Macaca mulatta: one gene and its partners. Each later gene encodes a partner of the first gene's protein in a complex. Links are inferred from orthologs where the notes say so. Each region holds a gene or a part of one and is shown on either strand. Other genes may lie near its edges. The genes, in order: SART1, UBL5, LSM8, LSM7, LSM4, LSM6 and LSM3.

What was found.
Region 2: the proteins of SART1 (region 1) and UBL5 are in contact, whole or in part, in a crystal structure (PDB 4PYU), measured with the Homo sapiens proteins. The link is inferred for Macaca mulatta from reciprocal best matches to the Homo sapiens genes SART1 and UBL5. Residues at the interface, in NP_005137.1 of Homo sapiens: Ser117, Leu118, Ser119, Ile120, Thr123, Leu126, Arg127, Leu130, Leu132, Lys133, Leu135; in NP_001041706.1 of Homo sapiens: Met1, Glu3, Arg15, Lys17, Cys18, Asn19, Asp21, Asp22, Asp26, Lys29, Leu30, Ala33, Gln34.
Region 3: SART1 (region 1) and LSM8 share a complex: the UniProt entries of both Homo sapiens proteins name them as parts of the U4/U6-U5 tri-snRNP complex. The link is inferred for Macaca mulatta from reciprocal best matches to the Homo sapiens genes SART1 and LSM8.
Region 4: SART1 (region 1) and LSM7 share a complex: the UniProt entries of both Homo sapiens proteins name them as parts of the U4/U6-U5 tri-snRNP complex. The link is inferred for Macaca mulatta from reciprocal best matches to the Homo sapiens genes SART1 and LSM7.
Region 5: SART1 (region 1) and LSM4 share a complex: the UniProt entries of both Homo sapiens proteins name them as parts of the U4/U6-U5 tri-snRNP complex. The link is inferred for Macaca mulatta from reciprocal best matches to the Homo sapiens genes SART1 and LSM4.
Region 6: SART1 (region 1) and LSM6 share a complex: the UniProt entries of both Homo sapiens proteins name them as parts of the U4/U6-U5 tri-snRNP complex. The link is inferred for Macaca mulatta from reciprocal best matches to the Homo sapiens genes SART1 and LSM6.
Region 7: SART1 (region 1) and LSM3 share a complex: the UniProt entries of both Homo sapiens proteins name them as parts of the U4/U6-U5 tri-snRNP complex. The link is inferred for Macaca mulatta from reciprocal best matches to the Homo sapiens genes SART1 and LSM3.

The regions. Positions count from the first base shown.
Region 1 is NC_133419.1:8,455,685-8,459,615, reverse strand, and holds the start of SART1 (U4/U6.U5 tri-snRNP-associated protein 1), read left to right. Parts: upstream 1-1,131; 5' UTR 1,132-1,178; coding exon 1,179-1,491; intron 1,492-3,217; coding exon 3,218-3,275; intron 3,276-3,684; coding exon 3,685-3,740; intron 3,741-3,931. UniProt on the Homo sapiens protein: Plays a role in mRNA splicing as a component of the U4/U6-U5 tri-snRNP, one of the building blocks of the spliceosome. May also bind to DNA.
Region 2 is NC_133424.1:10,532,519-10,536,633, forward strand, and holds UBL5 (ubiquitin-like protein 5), read left to right. Parts: upstream 1-1,315; 5' UTR 1,316-1,425; exon of another isoform or gene 1,426-1,476; coding exon of another isoform or gene 1,477-1,545; intron 1,546-1,682; 5' UTR 1,683-1,693; coding exon 1,694-1,749; intron 1,750-1,945; coding exon 1,946-2,029; intron 2,030-2,191; coding exon 2,192-2,229; intron 2,230-3,639; coding exon 3,640-3,683; 3' UTR 3,684-3,706; downstream 3,707-4,115. Other genes in the region: PIN1 (peptidyl-prolyl cis-trans isomerase NIMA-interacting 1), read left to right, coding at 1,477-1,545. UniProt on the Homo sapiens protein: Ubiquitin-like protein that plays a role in cell proliferation and sister chromatid cohesion by associating with spliceosomal proteins. Participates thereby in pre-mRNA splicing by maintaining spliceosome integrity.
Region 3 is NC_133408.1:157,715,904-157,719,907, forward strand, and holds the start of LSM8 (LSM8 homolog, U6 small nuclear RNA associated), read left to right. Parts: upstream 1-1,204; 5' UTR 1,205-1,333; coding exon 1,334-1,364; coding exon of another isoform or gene 1,365-1,429; intron 1,430-2,756; coding exon of another isoform or gene 2,757-2,763; coding exon 2,764-2,804; intron 2,805-4,004. UniProt on the Homo sapiens protein: Plays a role in pre-mRNA splicing as component of the U4/U6-U5 tri-snRNP complex that is involved in spliceosome assembly, and as component of the precatalytic spliceosome (spliceosome B complex).
Region 4 is NC_133424.1:3,075,559-3,079,628, reverse strand, and holds the start of LSM7 (U6 snRNA-associated Sm-like protein LSm7), read left to right. Parts: upstream 1-1,270; 5' UTR 1,271-1,299; coding exon 1,300-1,305; intron 1,306-1,388; coding exon 1,389-1,479; intron 1,480-1,546; exon of another isoform or gene 1,547-2,635; intron 2,636-3,070; exon of another isoform or gene 3,071-3,154; intron 3,155-3,244; exon of another isoform or gene 3,245-3,666; intron 3,667-4,070. Other genes in the region: SPPL2B (signal peptide peptidase-like 2B), read right to left, coding at 1,081-1,146. UniProt on the Homo sapiens protein: Plays a role in pre-mRNA splicing as component of the U4/U6-U5 tri-snRNP complex that is involved in spliceosome assembly, and as component of the precatalytic spliceosome (spliceosome B complex).
Region 5 is NC_133424.1:18,849,963-18,854,084, reverse strand, and holds the start of LSM4 (U6 snRNA-associated Sm-like protein LSm4), read left to right. Parts: upstream 1-1,322; 5' UTR 1,323-1,428; coding exon 1,429-1,431; intron 1,432-4,122. UniProt on the Homo sapiens protein: Plays a role in pre-mRNA splicing as component of the U4/U6-U5 tri-snRNP complex that is involved in spliceosome assembly, and as component of the precatalytic spliceosome (spliceosome B complex).
Region 6 is NC_133410.1:154,723,947-154,727,938, forward strand, and holds the start of LSM6 (U6 snRNA-associated Sm-like protein LSm6), read left to right. Parts: upstream 1-1,192; 5' UTR 1,193-1,252; intron 1,253-2,574; exon of another isoform or gene 2,575-2,678; intron 2,679-3,992. UniProt on the Homo sapiens protein: Plays a role in pre-mRNA splicing as component of the U4/U6-U5 tri-snRNP complex that is involved in spliceosome assembly, and as component of the precatalytic spliceosome (spliceosome B complex).
Region 7 is NC_133407.1:152,980,496-152,984,654, forward strand, and holds the start of LSM3 (U6 snRNA-associated Sm-like protein LSm3), read left to right. Parts: upstream 1-1,359; 5' UTR 1,360-1,412; coding exon 1,413-1,433; intron 1,434-4,000; coding exon 4,001-4,111; intron 4,112-4,159. Other genes in the region: XPC (DNA repair protein complementing XP-C cells), read right to left, coding at 1,024-1,123. UniProt on the Homo sapiens protein: Plays a role in pre-mRNA splicing as component of the U4/U6-U5 tri-snRNP complex that is involved in spliceosome assembly, and as component of the precatalytic spliceosome (spliceosome B complex).

The DNA of each region.
Region 1 (3,931 bases):
CACCCAGCTAATTTTTGTATTTTTAGTAGAGACGGGGTTTTACCATATTGGCCAGGATGGTCTCGATCTCTTGACCTTGTGATTCGCCTGCCTCGGCCTCCCAAAGTGCTAGGATTACAGGCGTGAGCCACCGCGCCCGGCCTGCACTGGGGTTTTAAGTCCCAGTAGTTTTTTTTAGGGCTCCTCTCCTCAAGAAAAAAACTCATACACACAGATGTGCCACATTTTGCATTCAATTTCAGGGGTTCCAAGGATACACTGACGCTCATGTGGCGCTCCTTCAGTCTTAACAGTTCACGGGGCGCGGGTTTAAAAAATCCAATCCAGGGCTGGGCGCAGGGGCGCATGCCTGTAATCTCAGCATTTCGGGAGGCCAAGGCGGGTGGATAGCCTGGCTTCAGGAGTTCGAGACACCCCCCGCCCATCTACAAAAAAATACAAAAATTAAAGGGGCGTGGTAGCGTTCATTCGTAGTAGTCCCAGCTAGTGGGAAGGCTGAGGGGGTAGGATCACTTGAGCGCGGGAGGTCGAGGCTGCAGTGCGCCGTGATCGCGCCACTGCACTCCAGCCTGAGCAACAGAGTGAGATCCTATCTCAAGGGAAAAAAACAAAACAAAAAAACCAGGGAACGTGGGAAGGAAGCGTTCCCTAACGATACTAGTTATAGCGGGTCGGAAACTGGGCTATGGAATTTGAGATAACGGGAAAACAACACCCGTTGAAGCCACGACCCTAGGAGTCCACTAAGCGAGCGCCCATTGTAGGAGGGAGGTGTCTACGGAAAGGCCGTGAGGTAGTGAACACCCCGTTGTCGGTGAAGTGCAAGCGCAGGGATGCCGGGGAGGAACTTCCAGCCACGAAGACACTGGCTTAATGCCCTCTAAGTCCTTCCAGTTCTGGGATCCCATCTCCGGGTTAATTCCGCTTCCCTTGAGTAGCGAATGCACAACGGGACCACTGGCTCAAAGAACCCACCCGACCCGCGACGGCGCGAATGTGCAGTGGAGCAGTGATCCCGGTCTTCCCATGAGCCTCTGGGGCCGGCTCCAGGGCGAGCGACGGAAGCAGCCGCTCTTAGTTTCCGGCAACACGACAGCGGCTGCCGAGCGACCCGGAAGTATTCCCATTTTGCGTTGTCTGGGCTCGGCGGTAGCCGGGCTTGGAGTGGACGTGCCACTATGGGGTCGTCCAAGAAGCACCGCGGAGAGAAGGAGGCGACCGGGACGACGGCGGCGGCCGGCACCGGGGGCGCCACCGAGCAGCCGCCGCGGCACCGGGAACACAAAAAACACAAGCACCGGAGTGGCGGCAGTGGCGGTAGCGGTGGCGAACGACGGAAGCGGAGCCGGGAACGTGGGGGCGAGCGCGGGAGCGGGCGGCGCGGGGCCGAAGCTGAGGCCCGGAGCAGCACGCACGGGCGGGAGCGCAGCCAGGCAGAGCCCTCGGAGCGGCGTGTGAAGCGGGAGAAACGCGATGACGGCTATGAGGCCGGTGAGGAGGCGGGGCCTGCGCAGGGGGCGGGTCGGGCAGGGGTCCCAGAACGTGCGGGTCTGGGTGTGCGCACAGTGTCAGCAAAGCTCTCCGGATCGGGAAACCCCCAGACTGTCTATATCAACTCTTATTAAATAGTCTTTCTACGGGATCCCATGAGCCCAGGAGTTAGAGGCTGCAGTGTGCTGCGATCCCGCCAGTGCACTGCAGCCTGGGCAACAAAGCGAGACTCTGTCTCAAAAAAGCTTTTCTACGATTGTTTGGGATTAGAGGTAGACTGTCTCCACCTGGCTCCTTGAGGATAGAGAGCTTCCGTTTTTCTCAGTTGTCTGGTACAGTCACAGATTCTCAATAAATGTGTTGAATGAATGAATGAAGTAGTGTCAGCATATGCAGAGACAAGAAAAACCTGGTATTTGACGAATCGTATTGGACGAATCGTGTAGGGCTCCTGGTAGAGAAATGAAGGAGTAAGATAGGCAGGGATGTGAACGCAAAGGATCCTGTACTGTAGGCTCTGTTAAGAAATGTAGATTGTCTTGACAAGGTAGTAGGGAGCCTTGGCTGTGAGTTGAGGAGTGAGTTGCTCAGATCCGTATTTTGTAAACATTACTGGATTGAGAACTTAGTCAAAGGTAGTCAGGATTGGAGACCAGGAAATCAGGAGGGCTACAGACCAGGTGAGGGCTGATGGTGGCCTGCACCAAGGCAGCAGCAGTGGAGTGGAGAGAAGTGGACAGGTTGGAGAGGTGTTTTAGAGGAGGAATGAACAGAACTCAGTACTTGTATGAGGGTGGGAAGGAGAAGGAATTGAGGATGACTCCTTGAATTTTGGCTTGAGCAGCCAGATAGGTAGTGGGTGTCATTTCTACTGAAATTGAGGAGTAGGGAAGAGAAGGAGATTTGGAGCAGGGTGGGGGAAGATAATTCACTTTTGGGGTTGTCAAGGTTTATGTGCATAGGGAAATCCAGAGTTTGGACTGGATAAAGCCATTGGGAGTCAGTATCTGGGTGGCCAGTGAAGCCCGCGAAAGAATGCGACATGAGAAGCCGGGGTCAGGAATAGAACCTGAGAAATGCCCTTATGTTAGTAGTAGGCAGAGAAAGATGTTACCAAAAAAAGGAGATAGAGTAACCAAAGAGGCAGGAAAACCTTTGTGTCATGGGAACTTTGGAAATAGAGTATTGTTAGAAGGAGGGAGTGATCAGCAGTCCCATATACCACAGGAGATCAAGGAAAACCAGAACTGAAAAGAACCCGTTAGATTAGAAATGAAGGAGACTGGTGACTTTGGGGAGCCTGGAGAGATTGGGATCCAGGGCCCAGGTGGAGAGTGGAGCCTTTAAGATACAGGATGGGAATGCAGGAAAGGAAGAGGTGTTTTTTTTTTTTTTTTGAGACAAAGTCTTGCTCCATCTCTTTAAGAGACCTTGTCTCTTAAAAAAAAAAAATGAAAGAAAAAAGGAGAGGGCAGAATGGTGACTGTAGCAGTTTGGATCTCTTGGGTCAGGATAGGAAGGTGCGCAGAAGAGGCAGGGCTCTGAGACTGGACTCGGGCAGAGGAGCTGCTGGGGAGCTTGGGTGGAAGAAGCTGCTGTTTTCTGGTGTTTCATCAGGCCCAGGTGCTGGTGAGGGGCCCTCATCTTTGATCCTGCAGTTGGAGGCACTGATGCTGGCTTGTTGGCCCTATGTTCAGCTCCTGAGCCATGCTTCTTCTTCTTCCAGCTGCCAGCTCCAAAACTAGCTCAGGCGATGCCTCCTCACTCAGCATTGAGGAGACCAAGTGAGTACTGTCTCCCTTGTTTCCACTTTGTTTTTCTAAGATAGGTGGCTCTGGGGCCAGCCCTGGGGAGGCTTTCTCACATGAAAGTGTGCTAATTGGAGTTGGAAAGGTTGTATAGATCATTTTAGCCAACAGTAGAGTTATAGAAGAGGAAACTAATACCTAAGAGTAAAGTGGCATTCACCGGTTAGATGCAGACCAGGCTGGCGCCCATGTTTCCTGCTTTGGAGGCCAGGGCCCTTCCCAGTGTCCTAGGCTTCCTGGGGCAGACCGTGTGTTTGGGACCGCTCACTCCCACCCTGTTTCTTCTCCTGTCTGTTTGGAAATGCACATGGCACCCTGTGTCTTTGATAGCCCGTAACACTTGTATCCTTTGATAGCCCCTAACACTTGTATCTCTTGTTCTCAGTAAACTCCGGGCAAAGTTGGGGCTGAAACCCTTGGAGGTCAATGCCATCAAGAAGGGTGAGCATGGGGCTGAGGATGGGGTTTGGGGGAGAGGGCCATCTGAAGGGGTCTTTGAAGAAGGTGGGATTAGAGGGCAGGTTCAGCACGGTTTAGTGGTCTTACACATGCATATTTGCCGGAAGGCACGAGGTCCCTTCTTGCTGTTCTAATGTGGACCTGGGGCTCTGCTTGTTTTCTGAGTTAGAGCC
Region 2 (4,115 bases), on another chromosome or scaffold:
AAGTAAAACCAGAGAGCAGAAGCAAGGTGAAGGGGCGGGTGAGCAAGAAGCAAGATAAATGGCAGAAGCTGAGGAGACAAAACAAAAGGAAGATTAAAAACTGAGTAAAAATCCCATGGCCAGGGAAATCAGGACCAAACCAGTAAGGAACAGCTCTTTAGGCATAAGCATGCGCATTAAACACAAAAAGTATCCTTAACGTAAGGATAACCAGCTCATTAGCGCTCATGCATATGGACGGCATATCATGCAGGTACTTAAAATTATGGAATGAAGACGGCCCTCAAGCGCACAGGGGCCAAAGTAACTAAGCAACACACCTATCATTCAAAAAGGTAGACACTGGCTACAGATTAGGCAGCCTTGGGAAAAGAAGAAAAGCCTGGCTAACATGGTGAAACATCATCTCTACAAAAACTACAAAAATTAGCCGGGCGTGGTGGCGGGCGCCTGTAATCCCAGCTACTCGGAAGGCGAAGGCTGCAGTGAGCCGAGACCGCACCATTGCACTCCAGCCTGGGCAACACAGCGAGACTACGTCGGGAAAAAAAAAAAAAGACCCAAACTACACCAAGCTGGGGCTGATCTTATCTCGCAGAGGTCAGTCCGCTCTCCCCTCCGAGAGTGGAATACTGTGCTTAATAAACTTGCTGCTTTGCTATCTCTGTGTGACTCGTTCAAATTTTTGTTCGGGGCACCAAGAGCCTGCAACTGTGCGGTAACAGCAGCTATTCGGCAGCGTAGAGTCTAGTCCAGGATCCAGCTTCGCCTATTGACTGGAGTCCGCATCCCGGGGGAATGCGATGGCCAGAGGGCAGAGGTGAGCAAAATGCTCACGACGCCCAGCCCTGAATGAACCCAGGGGGTCAGAAGGGATGACTGCAGAATTCGCTCCCCCTACTCCCTCCACCCTCGCTCCTAGTAACCGCATAAAGAGGCTTCGGGCCCCCACCCCCGGGACCCTCTGGTGTCCCACCATGTGACCGAGTCTCCCTGCAACAATGACTTAAAAAGAGCTGGGGCCAGCGCCGGACCTCTGGCTCTCGCTCCACGCCCTTTCCCCGGCCCCACACCCGCCAAGACCCCCCTCTCTACCCCACGCGCCTACCGCAGGCGTCCCCCTGCCAAGCCTTGGGTCACGGAAACCGTACTTGTGAACCGCAAACACACAACAGACTGCAGACCCGGAAGAACCTGAGCCAGTGTTGACCACACCGCCTGGCTAGGGGCGGGACTTCCGGCCCCGCGTTTTTACTTCCGCTTCCGGTTCCCAGCGTCAACTGCAGCCGGGGTTCTGCGCTCGGGTGAGGAGCTAGTGGCGTCGGCAGGTTCGAGGCGATTCGAGGTGAGGGGGTCAAGCGGAGAGGCTCGGAGTTGGGGAAAGCTGTCGCGACCCAGCCACCCAGGGTCTGGGGTCGGTGGGAGGTGAGGCCAGGGAGTTTCGTGTCAGGGCATTCAGGCGTCGAGAAGGGGCGGATGCGCGGCTGCCTGGGGTTCGCGGCCCTGGGACAGGGGACTTGGCCTGGGAGTATTCGAGTGCGGGGGGTTGGGAGCAGAACGGAAGGCTCAGTAACCGAGAATTTTAGGGCCTGGGACTGGGAGACTTGTAGGCTGGGGCTTCTGGGTCTGGGAGACGCCCGAAGCTCTGATTTTGCTACTTCCCACCCCACTGCTCTGTGTAGCTCCAGCTAGGATGATCGAGGTTGTTTGCAACGACCGTCTGGGGAAGAAGGTCCGCGTTAAATGCAAGTATCCACTGGCAGCCGAGAGGCAGTGGTACTCGCAGGGGTGCTTGGCGTGAGGCAGGCAACTCAATCCGTTGTCGGATGGTTTTAGTTAAACCCGGGAGAGGGGGCGGATGGGGTCCTGGCAGATGGTATTCAGCCCTGGAATGTCCTCTTCCTCGTTCTACCGCTCCCATTTGCCTTAACTCCTCTGCGCCCAGCACGGATGATACTATCGGGGACCTTAAGAAGCTGATTGCAGCCCAAACTGGCACCCGTTGGAACAAGATTGTCCTGAAGAAGTGGTGAGTGCAGTAGTAGAGCCACTGGGTGGACTGGACTAGGCCGGAAGGTTTTGGTTTGGGGGAGCGCTGCAAGCAGCCCTTTGCTTAGGCTGGGCTACCTCATTCGGCCTCCAGGCTGAAGAGCCTACTTAGCCTTATCTCTGAAATGTCTCTTTTCCTTAGGTACACGATTTTTAAGGACCACGTGTCTCTGGGGGACTGTATCCTTTGTGTGACTTCTTGAGGAAGCATCTACATACCCAGCCTCGGTTATCTTCGTTCCAAACTAAAGTCTGCATGAGATAATGTTTATTAAGTGTTTAACTTAGTACGTGGCACATGGTGAGCACTTAGAAAGTGGGAGCTAGGCTGGGCGCGGTGGCTCACGCCTGTAATCCCGGCACTTTGGGAGGCCGAGGTAGGCGGATCATAAGGTGAGGAGATCGAGACCATCCTGGCTAACACGGTGAAACCCCGTCTCTACTAAAAAATACAAAAAAATTAGCCGGGCATAGTGGCGGGCGCCTGTAGTCCCAGCTGCTCGGGAGGCTGAGGCAGGAGAATGGCTTGAACCGGGGAGGCGGAGCTTGCAGTGAACCGACATGGTGCCACTGCACTCCATCCTAGGCAACAGAGCAAATACTGTCTCAAAAAAAAAAAAAGAAGAACATGGGAGCTATGTAATTATTTGGTTGGGGAGAGGGTAGTTGGTGAAAGTTTGACTTCAAGTTCAAAATATTTATTACTGACCTCCACCTGAGTGCTGGACAGTAGGTCAGGGTGGGGTGAGACTTAGGTATATCTATTGTGCAGAAGGAACAGAAACTTTTTGAATTTTTATTTTATTTATTTTTTTGAGACAGTCTCGCTCTGTCGCCCAGGCTGGAGTGCAGTGGCGCGGTCTTGGTCCACTGCAACCTTCACCTCCCGAGTTCAAGCAATTCTGCCTCAGCCTCCCAAGTAGTTGGGATTACAGGCCTGTGCCACCACTCCTTGCTAGTTTTTGTATTTTTAGTAGAGATGGGGTTCTGCCACATTTTCCAGACTAGTCTCGAACTCCTGGCCTCAAGTGATCCTCCCGCCTCGGCCTCCCAAAGTGCTAGGATTATAGCCATGAGCCACTACACTTGGCCTAGAAGGAACAGAAACTTTTTTTTTTTTGAGATGGAGTTTTGCTGTTGTTGCCCAGGCTGGAGTACAGTGGCACAATCTTGGCTCACTGCAGCCTCTACCTCCTGGGTGTAAGCGATTCTCCTGTCTCAGCCCTCCAAGTAGCTGGGATTACAGGTGCCCACCACCACACCCAGCTAACTTTTTTGTATTTTTAGTAGAGATGGGTTTTCACTGTGTTTAAACATCACAGTGTTGGCCAGGCTGGTCTCAAACTCCTGACATCAAGTGATCCACCTGCTTCAGCTTCCCAAAGTGCTGGGATTACAGGTGTGAGCCACTGCACCCAGCCAGAAATTTTTTGGTAAAGTTTCAGTTCTCTCCAAATAAAAATGGCCTGGTCCAAAATGGGCTTCCTTAGCCCTGAACTGAGACCTCAGGCCACCCTGACCCAGCTGTGAATGGATGAGAGGGGTGGGGATGGAAGCCAGAGTCAGGATTCCTTAACACCTTTCCTTCAGATGAAATCCACGATGGGATGAACCTGGAGCTTTATTACCAATAGATGAGAATCCTCATCTTCCTGCTGCCCTGCTCTCCTTTCCCATCCTCATCCCCCACACTGGGATAGATGCTTGTTTGTAAAAACTCACCTTAATAAAGACTTAGATGTTGCTTTGTTGCTGTCTCTTTGCATGAGAGCTGTCTAGTGATGGATGGATTGGTCGCTGTTAGGTCATCACTGCACCATCAGTATGTACCTGCTGAAATAAGAGCTCCAGATCAACTGGATCCATGAGGGCAGAGTAGACCAGCAGGCTGGGAGTCTGTGTAGGAGCCCAGAGAGAGCTCTGGGGTTTGCTGTGGGTGTCTGAAGGTCAAGAGACGCTGGGATTATTGTCACCCTAATAGACCAAAGAGCCTCCAGGTCATGACAGTAGATGGAATTGTTAGGAATTAAGATTCTGAAATCACACAGACCTGAGGAGGTATAGAT
Region 3 (4,004 bases), on another chromosome or scaffold:
TTTGTGGAAGACACTTTCATTTGTTACCCTGAGAATATGAGACATTCACAATCTAATTCCTGACTACATTTGATTTCAAACAGATCGGAATAACTTCCAGAATATAAAATTTTAACTATTTGGGAGTCATCTTGTAGGTATCTTGTGGGTATGCTCTAATTAAGAAATGCTTCCTTTTCCCAGGAAAACTGCTGACATTGCAAGAGTTATTCCAAAGCCACAATTCTTAAGAAAATACATGTTTAACCTAAATCATAAAGATATTTTGTAAAAAAGGGAAATCGCTCCTGCTGATGTTTTGTGTATAAATCTCTTTCTAACTTCAAGCTCTCTCAAGTTAGGGCAACACAGTAAATAAAGTGGGAACAGTATCACATTGGGAAATATCTGAAATGATACCTATGGCACTATAAGGAAACTGAGGCCCAGAAGAATTGAAGTGACCTGTGCAATGACACCAATACGTTAGCAGAGCCAAGATTAGAACCAAGTTTGGTGCCTTCCTGCATCAGTCCTTTCTTGGTGCTGAAGGAGCCTTTTATTTATTAATTTCACCCTGGAGAATTCCGGCAGACCATCCCGGCGTGGTAGAAGCGTGAACATTCGTTTTCTAAGGGATGGTCACACACCTTTTTCTATTTACATTTAGTTTCTTTAAAAAGTAAAAACACCTCCATTTTGGACCACTTTTAGAGACAAAAGCAGAACATACGAACGTGCATTTCATTGTTGAGTTCTTAAGACGCTTACACCGTGTGGTTATAACGTGCGCAACTTTGTCCCGGCCAACTGGACTTATTTTTAGTGTTATTTTCGGCTCCTGCTGCAGAAAACTAGGGATTCAACTACCCGCACCCGCATTTCACACAACAGCGCTCGTCTACTCTCCTCCTTCACTCCTAATAAAAAACGCCTTATCCTGTTTCTTCCTGCCTGCTCTACCTCAACATTTTCACTTATTATCTTCCACCACACTGGGTTTTACTCGGATTGGAAACCCACTCTCCCCCAACTTCTCTCTCGTACCCCACCTTCGGGAAGCGTCCTCCTTTTTTCCGCCTCTCGTTCCCTTTGTCTTACACGGCTTCCGGAACACGGCCCAGAATTACAGCGAAAACACACTGCGCACGCGCACTCTCTCGTCAGAGCGGCGCTGCTTCTGTTTGGTTGGCTAGTTCGTCCCAATTTCCGAGTCAAAGGGCTGCGGAGCAGCAACTCTCACGATATTTGCGGCGGCTCGCAGACGCGAACCGCTGCCGAGTTCTGGCGCGCCCTTTCAGTTCTGCTTGTGGCCGGCACCACTGCGTTATCCGGAACTGCCGGTCCGAGCAGCATGACGTCCGCCTTGGAGAACTACATCAACCGTATCCTCAAGCTGGCCGCCGCGGGCGTGAGCCGGGGCCGCGGAGAGACCGCCGCTCGGGGATCGGTGGGAAGTTGGGAGGCCCGGCCGCGGCGGGATCCTGGGGGCGGGCGAGATGAGGACCCCGGAATGACCCAGAGTTCGGCGGCGGCGCCTAGAGCCTGCCAGCTGCTGCGGGCCCAGGGGTCCTTTCCATTTTGTCTACAAAAGCCAAATAAAAACCCAGTGTGATTTTTCCGAACTTTTCTGTCTTAAAAAAAATTACGCTCTTGATTCTTCCTTACTATTTCCCTAGGGCATAAGTGTTCAAGTTTGTAAATAAGATGAACAGTCGTCCTGGCTGCGACAACAGTTTTGCAAATCTGTGTACTTGTTTTATTCACATAATATGCTCATTAGTTCGAGGATAGCAGAAAGTTTAACGATGGTTCACAGACTGTTTCTGTCCCTTTACCACTTGAAGACCCTACCTGGTGGTGGAATGAAAAAAATGCTTGCTGTTGTAATGGATTATAGTGAGGAGCAAGTAACAACCCCACGGGAAGTCTTAAAATAGACTTTACAAGTGTTACCGTTTTAAAGTCTCAGAACAAAAACACTATGTTAAGTTCAGGTACAAACTGGGTGACAAAAATTAAATACCGAATGCTTTTAATGTTACAGGCATTGTTAGTACCTTGTGACACTGATTATATAGTTTATTTACTTTTGAATTACAGAAGCCTGCCCCGGAAGACAGTTTTTTAACATGCTTGAAAATCGTCCAACATCGATGAATTTAGTACTCATCCAGTTTTCATTTTAGATATAAACAGGCCCAAGAAACGAAATATCCTGTCCGAAATAATAGATTGGCAGCATTCCTAGTAGAAAAGTGTCAAAAATCCAGGATATTTTGAGATAGGATACACCGATCACATACAGAAAGAGGTTTTCTTTTCTATTTTTTCCTTTTTTTAGTCATGTAATTATCACAAAACTAAAACAAGCTTTTAAAAAATTTTTTTTCTTTCTTTTTTTGAGTCGAGGGTCTCACTGTGTTGCCCAGGCTGGAGTGCAGTGGCTTGATCATGGCTCAATGCAACCTTGAACTCCTGAGCTCAAGCTATCCTCCTGCCTCTGCCTCTGTCTCCTGAGTAGCTGGGACTATAGGTCACCAGGCCAGGGTAGTAGAGATGGGGGGGGTCTCACTGTGTTTCCCAAGCTAGTCTCACCTCAAGTGATCCTCCTGCCTTGGCGTCCCAAAATCTTTCAACGTTTTTATGTAGTGAACTTAGTGGCTGTGTTGAACACTTTTACCTAATTGTCATATTTGTTCTAATAATTTAAATCATTACCTTGCCAGAGTCTGTTTTCAATTTGCATTCCCTAAGAAACACTTTCCTTTATTCAGTTATCAGGAACTGTTGCCGTTATTACATCTGATGGGAGGATGATTGTGGTAAGTCTTCGGAATTTTCATTCTCTGCTTTCCTGTAGGTTTATTGGTTGCAAGTTTTATGTGAAACCTCTGATCTCTAATGCCTAGACAGCACATTACACCTGTAGTGCAGTTTTATTATAATTCAGCTCTTTATCACTTTGCTGTCAATCCACGTTTTCCTCACTCATAAACGTGGCGTGTTACCTACAAGGCTTCTAGGAGCTAGAGTTATAGATTCTGCCCTCAGAGAGCTCCTAGTCTGCAGACCTTCATTAAACTTACTTTTCTTCTTCCATTTTTATTTCCTTCCTCATTCGGCACCACATGAATCAGAATTTTTTGAAATTTTGCATATGCTTAGTAACTTTTTAATGATTTAGATACTATTAATATCTACATATCAACATTTAAGGCTTGTATACAATCTTAACATTCTTTGTTTTTAGGTTGTGTGACATGTCTTCTGTAGGACACATTATGATGATTGACTCTCTCTATATACACATATTTACGTAAAATTGGCTTGTTCCTTGAAGTTGTTTCTCCCTTGCTAATTTATGTCATATAACAAAGATAAAACGTTCCTATGGTGATACTTGTATTTGGAATTTGATCTGAGGAATTCATCTCAAGATTTTTGGGTACTTGATTATTTCTTCACTTAAAATTCCTACTCCAAATGCTTTCAAAAGAATTTTAAGGCTACTAAACTTTTCTAACCCTACCTAGTTTCTTTAAATAATTTGATCACTTATTTTTCCATTCTGCAGTTTTGCTTTCGTTTGTTCTTAGTGACTATTGTTAGTCAAAGTTCTAGCTTTGCCATTTACTAAATTTATATCGTGTGCCAGGTGCATATGTGTTACATTAATTAATGTACATACAACCTTGTGAAGAATAAGTACCCCTGTATTCTAGATTAGGAAACAAGTTCAGAGAAGGTGACTCACTTTCTCAGAGTCACAGGGTAGCAGGTGACAGAACCAAACTGGGATTTAAATTTGCTTTGACATCAAAGCCAAGGCCAGTTGCCTGGCTTCTTTCTTAAGGAAGCAATCATGTTTTCTTAGGCACCTCACATTGTATTTTTTCAAATGTGGACAGTTTGACATATTTTAACCTCAACACTTCAAGAAGCCTATTGCTATTAATAGATGTTTGCATTATTTTTTATTTAGTGAAAACCTTACGTTTAAATTTTCTTATTTTTGTTAACAG
Region 4 (4,070 bases), on another chromosome or scaffold:
GCTGCAGGCTTCCCTGGCGCCAGGTCACAACTGGACGGCACGTTCATCCAGATGCGACATGGACTGACATACTTTGAAAGGGTCACTCCTGCTGTGTCGAGGATGGACTAGGGATGTGGGGGACAAAGGCAGCCACAGCAGGGGGATGGCGGTGGGGCTGGAAGAGTGGAGACTAAGAAGGAGCCCAGTGGCAGCAACGCCTTAAGAGAACTCTGAGAGAGGAGTGAAGGTTAAGGGCCGCATTTGTGAGGCTGCTCCGGGTTCCATTCCCTGAGCCACCAAACTCAGGTAAGAGGGAAGACTTGGAATTAAGAAAATAAAAGATGCAGTTACGACAGTGCCATCTCGTAGACTGTCCCCGCTAGAACCTGACACTCTACATCAAAGGATACACAATGAATATAAGGAAGGCGTGCTGTCCCTAGGCGCTGGTCACCCTGGGTAGCATCTCCAGAATCCACACCATAGTCGACCCCCCTTCTCCAGACGAGCAACCGACGCTCAAAGCAGGGAATTCCCTCGTCCAAGGTCACGGAGTAAAAGATGGAGCGGGGATACGACCCCAGTGCAGGGCTGGGCTCTTGGCCGCTCCAGGATGCTGGCCAGTCACTGGGGGACACGCGGGACGCCTCTGGGTTCCCCCACCGCACCCCCTAGGGTGAGGTTAGCTTAGCACCCGGCCATTCCGCCTAAAGGGAAACTGAGGCTCGGAGCGGGGTGGGCGGCCGCCTGCCCAAGGCCACAGAGCGGGAGAGAGGCGTCCCCCGCGGCGGCTGGAGACCCCGAAACGGACAAGCAGAACCGGGAGATGGAGGGGGCACAAACTTCAGGCCCGGTGGGAAGTGAGGGGCGCTGCAGCGGCGGAGGGCCTCCGAGGCGGGGAAGGGAGAGAAGCCGGGGACAGCCCCGCAAGGTCACGGCCGGGCCCCGGCACCGCCGGCCGACAACGAGGGGACCGCGGATCCCCGAGGCTCGACCCCCCAAGACGGGCCAAGAGGGGTCGTTCCTGCGCGTAGCCTCGGGGCCGAGAGGCCGAAGGGCCGCAGCCTGCGGTGCCGTCGGGACCGGTGCCGCGCTCACCTGGGCCGCGAGGAGCAGAAAGGCCGCCACAAGCCGCGCCAGCGCAGCCGCCGCCACCGCCGCCATCTCGGCCGGTGCCCGCCGCAACCGTCGGCAGATGTTTCCCAGCAACGCCCCGAGACCCCGGGCCACGCATGCGCCGCGCATGCGCGTGGGGGGGGAGGGGAGAGGTCACAGGGCACGGGGCGGTGTCTGCGAAGAGCCGCACGGCGCGACAAGATGGCGGTGAGCGCGCGGCGGAATCCGGAGCCGGGGGGCGTGGGGCTCGGGCCGCGCTCCAGGCCTCATGCGCTCTGCTTTCCCCGCAGGATAAGGAGAAGAAGAAAAAGGAGAGCATCTTGGACTTGTCCAAGTACATCGACAAGACGATCCGGGTGAAGTTTCAGGGAGGACGCGAAGGTGAGGCGGCTCCCGCCGTTGGCACCCCCCCTTTAAAATTTTAAAATAAACTCAGCAAGAGAGGTGATGAGGATGCATGCAGAGGCGCCTCTTTTATTTATTTTTATTTATGTATTTATTTGAGACGCAGTCTCGCTCCGTCGCCCAGTCTGGAGTGCAAGTGGTGCGATCTCAGCTCACTGCAACCTCCGCCTCCCGGGTTCAAGCGATTCTCCTGCCTCAGCCTCCTGCGTGGCTGGGGCTACAGGCGCCACCACTCCTGGTTAATTTTTGTATTTCTAGTAGAGACGGGGTTTCACCATGTTGGCCAGGCTGGTCTCAAACTTCTGACCTCAAGTGATTCGCCCGTCTCGGCCTCCCAAAGTGCTGGGATGACAGGCGTGAGCCGCCGCAGAGGCGCCTCTTTACACGCTTGACGCCGACTACCTTGTGCAGGCTTCCGAATTACGCCGGGAGGTAGGAACTGGTATGGCCATTTTGCAGGCGGGGAAACTGGGGCAAGGAGCGGGAAACAAACGTAACCCAAAGTCACAGTGGCGCAGCCGGTATTGGGATTTCCGGCTTGGCCTCCAGAGCAGTCCTGTGTGTCCAAGGACTGCCCCAGATCCCCACAGATCTCCCGGCTTCTCCTCTTCCTCCCTCTAAGTCAAGGTCTTTCCCGCACAGCAGTGTGGACACATTTGGGGCCGGATTCTCTGGAGTGGGGCCGTCCTGGGGCACTGCAGGGTGCTGAGCAGCATCCCTGGCCTCCACCAAGTTGTGACAACCTAAATAGCCTCAGACATTGCTTAGTGTTCTCTGGGGATAGGATCGCCCCCCGACCCCCAAGCTGTGATTGGGAATCACAGCTACTAAGGTCAGTCTCCACTCAGCGGCCAGAGGCACCTAATGAAAAAGAAATGGAGGCTTCTTGCTCCCTGCTGAAAAGCTCTGAGGCTCCCCGTTGTTTTGGAGTAAAATCCGAATCCATACTTCTGATTATGACTGCAAAGGGCGGCAAAAGCACAAGTTCCACAGGTGCTTGCTCTGGGAAGCCCTCCCTGACCCTGGCGTCAGGCCCCCCATCGTTCTAGGATCCTGGTGGCACCTGTCACCGTTTGCGGTTTCGTGCATGTTAACCTGATGCTTGCCTCTGCCTGCGACTCTTCCATGGAATCTAGTGAAGACAGGGCGAGCTCTCAGAGGGCAGGAAGCATTCGCATGGGCAGTGGGCTGGTGATGCATGCTGCAGCTCTTGGCGGGGCGCAGGGACTCACGCCTGTAACCCCAGCACTTTGGGAGACTGAGGCAGGCGGATCATATGATCAGGAGATCGAGACCAGCCTGACCAACATGGGGTTTTGTGAAACCCCATCTCTACGAAAAATACAAAAAAATTAGCTGGGCGTGGTGGCGCACACCTGTAATCCCAACAACTCAGGAGGCTGAGGCAGGAGAATCTCTTGAACCCAGGAGGCAGAGGTTGCAGTGAGCTGAGATCGCGCCACTGCACTCCAGTCTGGGAGACAGAGCGAGACTCCGTCTAAAAATAAATAAATCACACACACGCACACACACAGCAGAGAAAGGGTTTGCTCCCTGAAGGACTCACCTGATATGGTCAGGCTCACCCAGGGTGTTTCCCTCTAGATTGGCTCAAAGTCAGCTGGTTCAGGGGCTTAAACAGCTGCATAACCTAAGTGCAGGAGTGACGTCATGTCCCCTCAGAGTCACAGGCCCGAGCCCACACCCCGGGGAGGGGAACCTTGGTTAGAGACCTACCTACCTCAGTGCTCACATCTGTCCCCGTGAGGAGGGCTGGCTCACTGGTCAGGCTGGTGCCAAGGACCTGAACCGCTGCGTCTGACCCCATCTCATAGGTGACAAGTTTCATTTTGCAGGGGAGGGACTTGAGCACAGAGAGAGGGAGCCGTGGAGGTAGGAGCTAAAGCCTGTATGCAGGTGGGCAGACCTTCTCTGTAGAAGGCCAGACAGCAAATATCTTCAGCTTTGCAGCCCAGATGGTCTCTTGTCACAACCAGTGAGCTATGCCCGCAGAGCAGGAGAGCCGCCCTGGTCAGTGCCTGAGCGGGCGAGTGTGCTGGTGGGCCAGTGAAACTTTGGCATACAGAGATGAGCGGTGGGCCACTTTCGCCTCTGGTCGTAGTTCGCAGCGCAGAACGGCCATGGACAGGCTCACAGCCCTGCCTTGGGAGAAGATAGGCGGGCAGAATAATGCCTGGGGTGCCTGCTTCCTGAGATTGGTGGGGGGCATGCAGAGGGCAGCACCCTAAGGGGTGTGGGTTGGTGTCTGGAGGAAGCACCTGAAAGATGACAGGGGTAAGAAGGAGGGTAGGGAGCGGGTGGCTGTGGGACGCCCCTCAGTGAGCGCAGAGGCGGAACCGCTCCTGGGCCTGGGCTGGAGGAGCCTGGGGGGAGAGGACGGGAGTCCCGGACAGGGAGGGTGGGCTGGCCTCTGCTGAGGACACGCAGCTCCCCCTTCACCCTTCTCAGTGTCACCAGACACTGCGGAGCAGGATCAGATGGCAGAGGTCACCACCGGGTCAGAGAGCCCTAACCCAAGGTGCCAAGTTGTGACCTAAGGCGGCGAG
Region 5 (4,122 bases), on another chromosome or scaffold:
GGCGTGTGCCTGTAATCCTAGCCACTCTGGTGGCTGAGGCAGGAGAATCCCTTAAACCCAGGACGGAGGGATTGCAGTGAGCTGAGATCCCACCACTGCACTGTAGTCTGGGTGATAGAATGAGACTCCATTTCAAAAAAAAAAAAAAAAAAAAATAGGGTCTTTGCAGATGTAATTAAGGATCTTGCGATGACATTATCCTGAATTTATGGTGGGCTTAATAAGAGAAAGGCGTGTCCTTATAAGAAAACGGAGAGGCTGGGCTCGGTGGCTCACGCCTGTAATCCCAGCACTTTGGGAGGCAGAGGAGGGAGGATTGCTTGACCCCAAGAGTTCGAGACCAGCCTGGACAACATAGGGAGACCCTGTCTCTACAAAAAAAGAAAAAAAAAAGGAGAGAGTCGTTTGAGACTCAGAGACACACAGAGAAGGCCAAGTGACGACAGAGGCAGAACGCGGAAGGCTGCATCTACAAGCCAAGAACTCCGAGGTTTCCCAGCAGCCACCAGAACCCAGGAGAGAAGCATAGGACACGCAGATTGTCCTCAGAGCCTCCAGAGGGAGCCAACCCTACTGACAACCTCATTTCATTATTCTGGTCTCCTGAATTATGAGAAAATCACGTTCTGTTGTTTTAAGCCTCCCAGTGTGTGGGCATTTGTTACAGCAGGCCCCAGGGAACTAATAGCATTCGCCTATTTACTTTGTTTACTGTCTGTCTCCCTAAGGGCCACGAATTTTGTGTACTGTTCATTTCTATGAGCAGAAGCAGGCACAGAATAGGTATTAAGTACTTAATATATGCCAGACGCTGTTTTAAGTGCTTTTACACGGTTTCATTCATTTCATCCTCATAGTAAGTAACGTTTTGGAGCAGACACTACTATTTACAGGGAGAAAACTGAGGCCCCGAGGGTCGTGGTCAGGATTCCAACCTACTAAATGATGTTCCCTGGATAATTACAGAATCAGAAAACTAGGAGTCCGAAGGGCGACACCAGGGACGTCCCAATCACCACGAAGCCTGGATTTCTCTCCCTCAACTGCAAAGGCAGTTACTGGCTTTGCCCACAGCGTGGAGCCCAGAAGACCGACGAAGGTTTCACCTGCGCACGCGTTTACCCACAATGCACCCCGCCCCGGCGCGCGTTGCTCCGCCCCCTTTTGTATTACAAGCCGCGGCACTTTACGGCTCTCTTCCTCGTTCCTCTGGCGGGAACACGGCCCGGCCCGCCCCTTTCGCCTAGCGGGCCCCGCCCCACTCCGCGTGGATTGGTTAACCGCCCTTCTAGCCCGGTGCTGACTGGCTCGCGTCTCTGCCACTTTCTTTCAGCCCAGTGGCGCGCGGCGCGGCGTGGCGAAGACCGCCGGGAGCGTGTGCAGCGGCGGCGGCGGAAGTGGCCGGCGAGCCCGGTCCCCGCCGGCACCATGGTGAGGGCAGAGCAACGGCGGGGTCTCACCGGGAGGCGGGAACCGCAGTCGTTAGGAGCCCTGCGGGCGGGCGCTGAGGGCTGGGTTGGCGCGGGGCGAACGTACGGTCCGAGCCTTGAGTCCCGTCCCCCGGCACAAGGCCGGGAAACTGATGCTGGAGACTGCAGGTGGTTCTACCACGTTCGTGTCTGGGATTTAGGGTTGCACGTACTCGTATCCACAGTACAGTGGCCTCGCCTTACTTAGTTTTCCCATTTTGCAGGTTGGGAAACTGAGGTTAAAAAAGTGGGGATCTGCCAAATGCAACAGAGAGTTTTTGGGCAGGGAAGGGGGTCCCTTACGCTTCGGACCCAGTCTGACCTCCCAGATTGAAACCTAGAGTGCTGGGAAGTAGGGGGCCAGTCTGAGTTGTGAAACTTGGTTTTAGGAATTTCAGAGCTTGTAAGATGCTTAAAATGCTAGCAGCAGAGCCTCCTAGGCCTCTTGTTTTCTGGCTGAAAAGTAGGCCTGGTGCTGGGGTGTGGTGTTTCTCCTTGGTTCACAAAGCATGTCATTCCAGAGGAAGGGAGCGTTTTGAGCTAGGGGTGGGCAAAGTACATCCTCCCCGTACACAGAAGGAAAAATTGCAGCCCAGGTCTCTGCAGGGCCACATTGTTTATGATTCTGTAAGTTCTGGATCTGGGCTAGAAAGTGCCTGTGTCTCCCAGTGTGCAGATCAGAAAAGGAATCCAGAGCTGGGAGTTTCCTGGCTCATCAGCATCTGGCCCTTCTTTTTTCAATGAGAGAAACCAAGGCCCTTGTTGGGGATGTGACTTCCAGACTGTGAGACAGTGGGAGATTCAGTAACCAGGAGGGCCCCCCAGGGGTGGCTGCATCAGAACTGTGGATTAGTGAGAGAGCTCTCCCTAAATCCAGCTGGTCAGTGTGTAGCCACCCAACGGGTTCACCTTGCCTGCTTCCTAGACAGAGCCCATTTATCAAGACAGGGCAATTGCAATACAGAAAGAGTATTTCACACAGAGCCAGCTATGCAGGAGACTGGAGTTTTATTACTGCTGAAATCAGTCTCCCCTGAGCATTAGGGGATCCGAGTTTTTAAAGATAATTTGGCGGGTAGGAGCTCAGGAAGTGGGGAGTGCTGATTGGTTGGAGCTTCCTGAGGTTGGAGATGGAGTCATTGGCGGGGGGGGGGGGGGGGGGGGGGCGGGGGCGGGGGTTGAAGTGAGATTTTCTTGCTGTCTTCTGTTCCTGGGTGGGATTGCAGGACTGGTTGAGCCAAATTACTGGTCTGGGTGGTGTCAGCTGATCCACCAAGTACAGGGTCTGCAAAATATCTCAAACACTGATCTTAGATTTTATAATAGTGATGTTATCCCTAGGAGCAATTTGGGGAGGTTCAGACTCTTGCAGCCAGAGGCTGTATGACCCGTAAACAATAATTTCTAATCGTGCAGCTAATTTGTTAGTCCTACAAAGGCAGACTGGTCCCCAGGCAAGAAAAGGGTCTTTTCGGGAAAGGGCTATTACCAATTTTGTTTCAAACTATACACTAAATCCCTTCCCAAGGTTAGTTCGGCCTATGCCCAGGAATAAACAAGAACAGCTTAAAGGTTAGAAGCACGATGGAGTCGGTTAGGTCTGATCTCTTTTCGCTGTCATAATTTCCTCAGTTACAATTTTTGCAAAGGCGGTTTCAAGAGCAAGGATTTAGAGAGCCTGTCCCTCTGCCATGTACTTAGAGGGCAGAGTTGGCATGCAAGACTGGGCAGAGCTGGAAGGATCCACCCGTGTTAAGTTTTGTGGAAGCAGAATCTTTTTTTTTCTTCCAACTATATTCCCAGTGTGTAGAACGGTGCCTGGGCAAAGTGTGAACTCATTCATTCAGCCCCTTCCCACCTTCTGAACATCCAGAGTCCTGGCTATCCAGCCATTTCCTGGAGGAGTGGCCAAGAATGGACAAGGCATCATGGGATACACACTTCCAGTTCCCTGTGATCAGGGCAGGGCCAGAAGGAGTGGCCTGGGTTAGGAGCGGGGATGGGCAGTCCTGGACAGCTTCCTGAATTAGGAGGCACTGGATTAGGTCTTTGTGGATCTAGACCTGAGAACCAGATTCCAGATGCTGCAAGAAAGCCCACTAAACCTCCACCTCTCGGAGAGAGTGATTTTCCTGCCTCAGCCTCCCAAGTAGCTTGGGATCACAGGCATGCGCCACCACGCCTGGATAATTTGTGTATTTTCAGTAGAGATGGGGTTTCACCATGTTGGCTAGGCTAGTCTTGAACCCCTGACCTCAGGTGATCCACCCACCTCGGTGTGTCAAAGTGCTGGTATTACAGGTGTGAGCCACTGCACTCTGTACTTTTTTTTCTTTTTTGGAACTGAGCTCTCACTGTCGTCCAGGCTGGAGTGCAATGGCACAATCACTGCAGCCTCAACCTCACCGGCCCAAGTGATCCTCCCACCTCAGCCTCCCAAGTAGCTGGGACCACATGCGTCACTAAACCTGTCTAATTCTTACATTTTTTGTAGAGACAGAATCTTGCTGTGTTGCCCAAGCTGGTCTCATACTCCTGGGCTCAAGTGATCCTCCCACCTCAGCCTCCCAAAGTGCTGTGATTATAGGCGCAAGCCACTGTGCCAAGCCTCACCTGGCACTTTGATGTATCTTCTTTTAAGATTTTGAGGATC
Region 6 (3,992 bases), on another chromosome or scaffold:
TTTTTTTAATAATTTAAACAACCAGTAAGGAATGTGCAATTTGATGTCTTGCAAAGAAAGTTTTTAGGAACAGGCCTTTTTATCCTGTTATGTTTGTACTTTGCAAGTAATTATTTGATTTAAACAGTACTTTTCTTAAAATTTTTATTTATATTATATTTTATATTGCAAGAACTTCAAATACAGTCCTCTCAATAAATCAGTAACTGTTTGGTCTTTACCCAAACTGAGCTTTTATAGAAGGATATAAGGAAGTCTCTATTCTTTACCAAATCACATCCACTTGTTTTCTGTCCCTGATATCAATCAAAAGTTCATTTCTTCTGCCTTTAGCCAAAAGAAGGTTACAAGGGAGGAATTCTTTATCTCAGAAAAAAATTCTGCATCTTAGATTTTATAACACCTAATGGGGTTAAGGATCTGTGTTGGAAGATCTTATTGCTTTGTGTGTAGCGTTACAAACCATAAATAAAATTAAAGTAAGTTTTCAGCTGATGAGAGTAAAGGAATCAAGTCTTGGGGTAACAGTTCTCTTTTTTCCCCCTTCCAATCCCATTAATAGAAAGAGTGTTGAGAATTCATGCAAAATTCCAAACCAAGTTCCCATAGTAGCACTTAAATAATGTCTGCACACCATTTCCAATTGGAACAAGTTTTTAATGTAACACAATTAATGTCATTATAATTCGGAGTTACTTGAGTGATTTTAATTATTTTTTAATCAACATTGCCATGGAAACAGTCTCTTGCTAAAATGGCTTAAGTCTTCACACATTTAATAAATATCCAGAGGTAGATTTAAAGACTTGAGGTGTTTTATTTATTTATTTGCTTTAAACTATTCAAGGACGTTTCTGGGTACACAGTGCCGTTACTTAAACAGTAAATTCCAGTTTCCTATGACTTCAAGTTATTTTTTACACTTCTGCAAATAAATCCTGGACAAAAGATCACTTCTAGTTTCCTGGATTTTTGTTTTTGTTTTATATTATATTTGTTTTGTATTCAGATTTCTGTCAGAGGAACTCCAGTGCACCAATTTTGCTACTAGACAAAACAGGATTCTCGGATTTGCGCGCTTCGGCGCTGACAGGCTTTTCGGCCCCAGCGGGCTGCCGTAGCAGAGAAGAGCAGTGATTGGCCGAGGCAGAAAAGTGCCGCTGCCTCGGCGGTTTCGCTTTTGGCTGCGATCATCCGCGGAGGCCGGACTCGTGGGGCGCCTGGAGTGAGGGTTCTGGATCCCGCCCGCGAGGTGAGCCGCACGGCTGCGCGGGCCGATGACGGGGCCGGGCGTAGCCCCGGGTTCGACGCCCCAGTGTTCAGTCGCGCTGTGGAGCGGCGGCTGCAGCGGCCCTAGGCCGGGCGAGGCAGCCCCGGAAAGGGCCTGAGGGGAACGGGCTGGGGCTCCGGGAAGGGGCCGCTGAGTGGCAGCTTTCCGCGAAATGCCGCGTCCAAGCTCTCCGCTCACGGAATGGCCGGAGAGGTCTGATAGTGGGCGCCGGGACCGCCCTCAGCGAGGTGCTTAGACTGCGCAGAGAGTAGCGGCACCGTCCCGGCTCCCACCGAGTTGGCGTCCGAGACCAGTTGAGGTTGTTGAAGTTCCCCAGGGAGCCCCGAGGCTAATCCCAGGATTCGGCGGGAAAGCGGATCCCGAACCCAGGCCTAGGCTTCGCCAGTCTTCCAGGGCTTCAGGGAATTGCTAACCCTTCCCTACATCGGGGTGGCTGCGCCTGACCACAGGAATTAAGGACTCGACTCGCCTGTCTTACTGAGTTGTCAGGCCTAGGAACCCAATTGTATGGTCTTAAGTCCTATTGCCCGAGGTTTTCTGTGCGTTCGCGTGTCCGCGCGCGTGCATAGCAGGCGTTTTTAAGATGTGTAGCATTAGGATGAAGCGGATTACCCTACCCCACTGCTCTTAGTAATATGTGACTATTGTAGAAAATTGCAAACATGGAAGACTTTAGTGAAGAAATAGTATTCACAACCCTTTCACCTACAATCTTTTTCTCCTGTGTATGCTAGCTTCTACTTGAGCTAGGAGTGTACATGTTTAATCACTTAACAGTATAGTTTACCACTTCCATTTAAAAACTCTTCCTAAATATTATTCTAGTTTTGTATCTTCTTTTGATTGACTGTCCCTCATTGTGGATCGCAATGTAGGTCCCATAAATTATTCAGTCATTTCCCGATTGTGGGATATTATAGATTGTTTTTGAATTTTTGAATCTCTTAGCACCCCAGATAATACTTTGATAAACCTTTTCCCCCCTATTTTTTAGATTATTTCCTTGGACTAGATTCTCAGAAGTGAAATTATCAGATTAGATGCTTTCATCTGTAAGGCCTTTTTTAGGCCTTCGTACACATTGCTGCAGTGTTTTCCAAAAAAGTTTTTCAGGTGTTTGGCAATTTTACTTGCTTGAATATTGTACAGAAATCTTGAGAGGCTTATGTTTGTGGGTGTGTGTGTGTGTGTGTGTGTGTCACTGGAGTTAATGCGTTACTACCTGAATGTTAGGGCAGGAAGAGACTTAAGTGGTCATCTGGCATAACTCCCTTATTTTGCAGATGAGGAACCTGGGGCCATGAGAAGTGAAATGATGAGTTATCCAAGTCACACAGCTAATTAAGTAGCAGAGCTGGGATTAGAACTCAGGTTTCCTGCCTCCCAAGTGAGTACCCTGTGCTGCATCAGGCAGTCTCTCACTGAACTGTGGCATAGTAGATATTAGAATTTAAAAATTTGTTTACATCACCTGGATTATTCTCTCCTTTTAAAAGTGTACTAACAGATTAATGATCGGAGGGACCTGTAACACTGAGAAATTGGAAAGTGATTATTTTCATGGCTAAGACTAGAAATCCATTATTTAGAATGGCAACCCCTTCAAGATTTTGACAGTTGTTTTCAGGTTCCCTTTATGTTAGAATAAAACATCCCTGATTAATTATAATCTACACTCCATCATTTGGTTAGAATGTAGCTTTTGGTTATCATTTGCTGTACTTTGGAGATTTCTTTAAAACTCCTCACTTTAAAACCAAAGAACAATGTTGTTGGTGGTTTTTTTTTTTAGGGCTTATAGCGGAGATTCTCAGCTTCCATTGACATTTTGGGCTGGACAGTCCTTTGTTGTGGAGGGCGGTCCTGTTGTAAAATGTTTAGCAACATCCCTGGTCTCTACCCACTAGTATAGCAGTAGCACCACCTTCCTCAGTCTTGACAGTTCAGTGTCCCCAGATACTTCCAAATGTCCCTGAGCAGGGTGGGGTGGGGTTGGGGAAACTGCCCCTAGTTGAGAACCATTTGCTTAAATAAATTATCTGGAGAACTTCATAAAATGTAAAATACAGTGCTTTTACCTGAGTAGACTTCAGGAATCTGCATTTTAACAAGCATCTCTAGATTTGGAAACAGCTGGTTCTTGAATGACAGAAAGGGTTGTTTTCTCCGTCTTTGGTGGTCCTAATAGAGATTACTTGGTTAGTATTTGTTGAAGTACGTGCATGATCCTACTAGTCACTGTATCCATAGTTTGGGTTGGTGGGGGCTGGACAGGGATTTTGCTTGGCACTGGCCTTGAATGTCTCTTCCACAGACTTGGGCAGTGTGCTTAGGTACCAGGGATACCAAGTGAGTAGGATATTTCCCCTGTCCCCAAGGAGCTTAAAACTCACCATGGGAGACCTGTCAGCAAATGGAAAAATTACAAAGCAGCCTGATAAGGACCATGACCGAGAGTGGAAAGAGGTGCTCTGAGTGGACTCACTTCGCCTTTGGGAGAGAGGGAGAGAAGTAGCGCCTGCTGCTCAGGAAGGAGGGATTGGTATGAAGCCTTCACAAGACAGCGAGGCACTCCACTGTGTCAGAAGGGAGGACTTGGAGAGCTGTTCTTCTCCGTGTCTGATCGCCTCCTCAGACACTGATCTGTTAGTCTAGTGCTGCAGTTACTTGGATTGTAATGTTTCCTTGCAAGTTTTTGCTT
Region 7 (4,159 bases), on another chromosome or scaffold:
CCATGGTGGGGGGTCACTCTAGGCCGAAGGAATATCAAAGGAAAAGGCTCAAGAAATAACTTGGCATATTTGAGGAAGAGAAAGGAGGCCAATGAGGAGGGTATCTGGCAAGGAAACAAGTGGTAGGAGAAACAGGAGAGGTAGCAAGAGCCAAAACACGTAGCATCTTGCAGGCCAGGATAAGACAACTGGATTTTAAACTAAGAGCAATGGAAAACCAAGGAGAGTTTAAAGCAGGAGCATGGCATGATTTTTTTTTTTTTTTTTAAAGATTATTTGCGTTGCTGGATGCAGAGCTGGGAGGCCAGTCAAGAGGAAACTGCAGTCACTCAACTGAAAGGTGATGGTGACTTGGACAGGGGTTGTGGCCATGGAAATGAAGAGAAGTGGACAAATTTGAAATACAGTCTGAGGCTGAACTGACTGGACTTGCTGACGGGACTGGATGTGTGCACATAAGAAAAAGGTGGACTTTGTTTTATAACAAGTATTGGGACTGGAAAAACGGAGGAAAGCATAGATTTGAAGGGGAAGACCATGAGCTCTGCACTGTCCACGACAAATGTAAGAAGCCTATCCAATATCCACGAGGGGAAGTCAGGTGGGATCCCACTGTGGAACTCTGGGCGAGACTCAGCTGAAGTTATCATTCGGGAGTCAGCACACTGCATCACTCTACGTCCTGGTCCGTCCGTCCGTTTTCCTGGGACACAAATAACTGCCTTCTCCGCGTTCAACCCTGAACATCTGCGCTGTATCCTCTGGACAACGGGGAGCGGGAAAGAAGCTACGCAGGAGCTTGGGTCGGGCGAGGCTCACGGGAAGCCGCTCTGGGTGCAGAGGACAAAGGCGCAGGGACAGCGGGGAGGGCCGGCCGCGGCCTGCCGTGCTGCCCCCACTGCGCGGAACGCGCGCAGCAACCTCCTCCCGGCCTCCGCGTCTGGACTCCCGCCGCCCCTGCCTCTGGGCCTCCTCCGCCCACCGGCAGAGTCTCCCGCGAAGCCCGCTGGGCCACGCTCTCACCCTCCTCCTCCTCACGCCGGGTCTTGCTCTTGGCCTTGGACTTCTGGCTGCGCGTTTCGCGTCCCCGCGGCTCCCCGCCGGCCGCGCGCTTCCGAGCCATATTGCTTGTCGGGGAAAAATCCACTTCGCGAGTGACGCACCAGGCCGCGATGCGTTAGAACGCAGGCCCCGCCCCGAGGCGGGCGCGTCTGGCCACGCCCCTTCGTTGGAGGCCTAGTCACGCCCCCAAAGGAAGCTCCGCCCCATACCCGTGGCCACTAAAAAACCGCGGGAAGCAGGCAAGAGCACAGCAGGTTTCTATTTCCGGTGTATTGTAGCATCACGTTTCCGGAGCTCGGCGTTGCTCTTGTGTTCTCGCGAGAGGCGGGAAAGGGCGCAGGGTTTGAAACATGGCGGACGACGTAGACCAGGTGAGTGAATTTTAAGGCGGTGGCTCGGCGCCGCTTCTTGTACTAAACTGCTTTTTCCAAACGCAGGAAAAATGGCCAGTCGCGCCTCTTCTTTCCAAGTCACACGGCCTAATCCGCCCCATCCTTTCCGTAAACACCCCTGTCCGAATTTTGCTGCAGGCCCTGAGGTCTTTTCCGTTAGAAGGCCACCTGATGACTATTCATCACACTCTTCGCTTTGTTTTTTTAAATCTGTAAATTATTATGCGTGCCTACCTCACGGAGCTGTCAGGATTCCAATAGAAAGCCAGATAATAAAGTTAGGAGTTGTTATTACTGAGCACAACAATTATTTACTCATTCAGCAGAGAGAGTGAACATCAGCTTTGTATGGTTAGACACTGTTCTAAGAGCCAGGGACACTGACATCGATATATAAGTGATCCTTGCCATGACTTGGAGCTTATATTCGCGAGGAGAACAGATAAATATAAATATGTAAGATTTATAGGAACTGTGATGTGCTATGAAGGAAACAAGGAACTGGTATGCAGAATAACAGATGGTCCTAGAAGCTTTTTCACCTGGTCTTTTTCTTCCTCAAATATCTTTGGAGATCATGCTACAACTTAAACTTTCTACTGAAATCTCACCTCCTCAGAGAGGACTTCTGCCCAAATAGCACTCCCCCTACTCTGCTTACCCTGCCTCATTTTTCTTCATAGAACGTTATTTTTTCATATTAAATGTATGCATCTTTGTTTAATGTGTATCTCTCCTGACTAGAATGTAAGTGCCATAACAGTAGGCATTTTGTTTTGTTCATTCTTTTGTCCTTGGGGTTTAGAACAGTGCTGGAAATACTCAACAAATATTTGAGTGAATGAGTTAGATGATCAGAGGAGGCCTCTTTTAAAAGCCAATGTATAAAGCTACAGGATGAAAAAGAACAGAAAGTGGGCATCCCAGACAGAGGCTTAGGTAGCAGTAGAGCTCTGTCATGTGCATATTCTTACAGTATTATAATTATTCATATGCCTATCCACATTAGAATGAGCTCCTTGAGGGTGGAGATTGTGACTTCTGTATCATTGTAATCTAACAGTTGGTTATCTGATCCTTTAACAAACACCTGTTGAACTGAGGGACATAGGGACCAGTTGAGTTAGGTTATTTTTTTTTCTCTCATCGGGCCTTTTGAATCTTTAGCGCCTGTTACGAATTCAGTTACCTTCCTCCACTGGCCTTGTGTACTTACTAAAGAAGCTCTCCTTGAATCATCTAACTCTTTAATGGCTGCAACCCTCCCTTCCATGTGGGTGACCCCAAGTCATCCTAGCCCTGACCTCTAAAACCAGTGTTTCCAGCAGTTCTTTAATAATATAATATTAGTAGGAATCTTTTCTTTTCTTTTTTTTTTTTTGGATGGAGTCTCACTCTATCGCCCAGGCTGGAGTGCAGTGGCGTGATCTCAGTTCACTGCAACCTCTGCCTCCTGGTTCAAGCGATTCTCCTGTCTCAGCCTCCCAAGTAGCTGGGACTACAGGCACGTGCCAGCACGCCTGGCTAATTTTTGTATTTTTAGTAGAGACGGGGTTCACCATGTTGGCCAGGCTGGTCTCAAACTCCTAACCTCAGGTGATCTGCCTTTCTCAGCCTCCCAAAGTGCTGGAATTCAGGCCTGAGCCACCACGCCCAGCCAAAAGGAACCGTTTCTAAGTATTAATATTTTCTGCTTTCCTGGCACTGTTTTAAATGCATTAACTAGTTTCATCCTCATAAGAATCCAGAAGGAAGGTTGTGGCTTTCTCAATTACAAATGAAGAATCTGAGAATTACAGATGGCATGATTTTTAATCTCAGTTCATAAGTGTCAGGTCACAGCCAGGAGTTGAACCCAGACTGCCTGACTCCAAAGTCAGTGCTTGCTTGCTTGTTGGCACCATCTTGGCTCACTGCAACCTCCACCTCCCAGGCTCAGGCAATCCTCCCACCTCAGCCTCGGAGTAGCTGGGACTACAGGCACATGCCACCATGCCCGGCTAAGCCAGTGCTTTGAACCAGTGTTCTATTCTGGCTACTAAATATTCATCTTACTGGCCAGTTGGCAGCCTAACCTCAACCTGTGCTGAATTCATAATCTTCCCATAAACCTACACCTCTACTTGGCATTCTGACTAGTATATGGTAGGCATTAAGTGAGTGTTTTTCCTATGATTACATAATATTTGAGATAAAGCTAAAGTTCCTAAGACCCTATACCCTGAAATCGGGTCAGGCAGTTTGGATTTTGAGGGAACAAAGTATAGTCATGATTATTTTGCTGTGTAACTCCTTCTTATGTATGCGTGTTTTAATCTACATTTATATAGCACATACTATGTGAAAAGTTCTGTTCTAAGCCTTCATATATGTCACTTAAGCCTCATAAAAACAGTATTAGGTAGACACTATTATCTCCATTTTACAGATTAGGAGACTGAGGCAGAAAAAGGTTAAATAACTTGCACATGGTCATACAGCATAGCAGTGATTTAAGCACTACTTTATCTCTAGTACTATATTACTAAACCTGTTTCTGTTATCAGCAACAAACTACCAACACTGTAGAGGAGCCCCTGGATCTTATCAGGCTCAGCCTAGATGAGCGAATTTATGTGAAGATGAGAAATGACCGAGAGCTTCGAGGCAGATTACATGTGAGTAAATTTATCAAGTTACCTTGAAATCAGATTCCTTCCCACCCC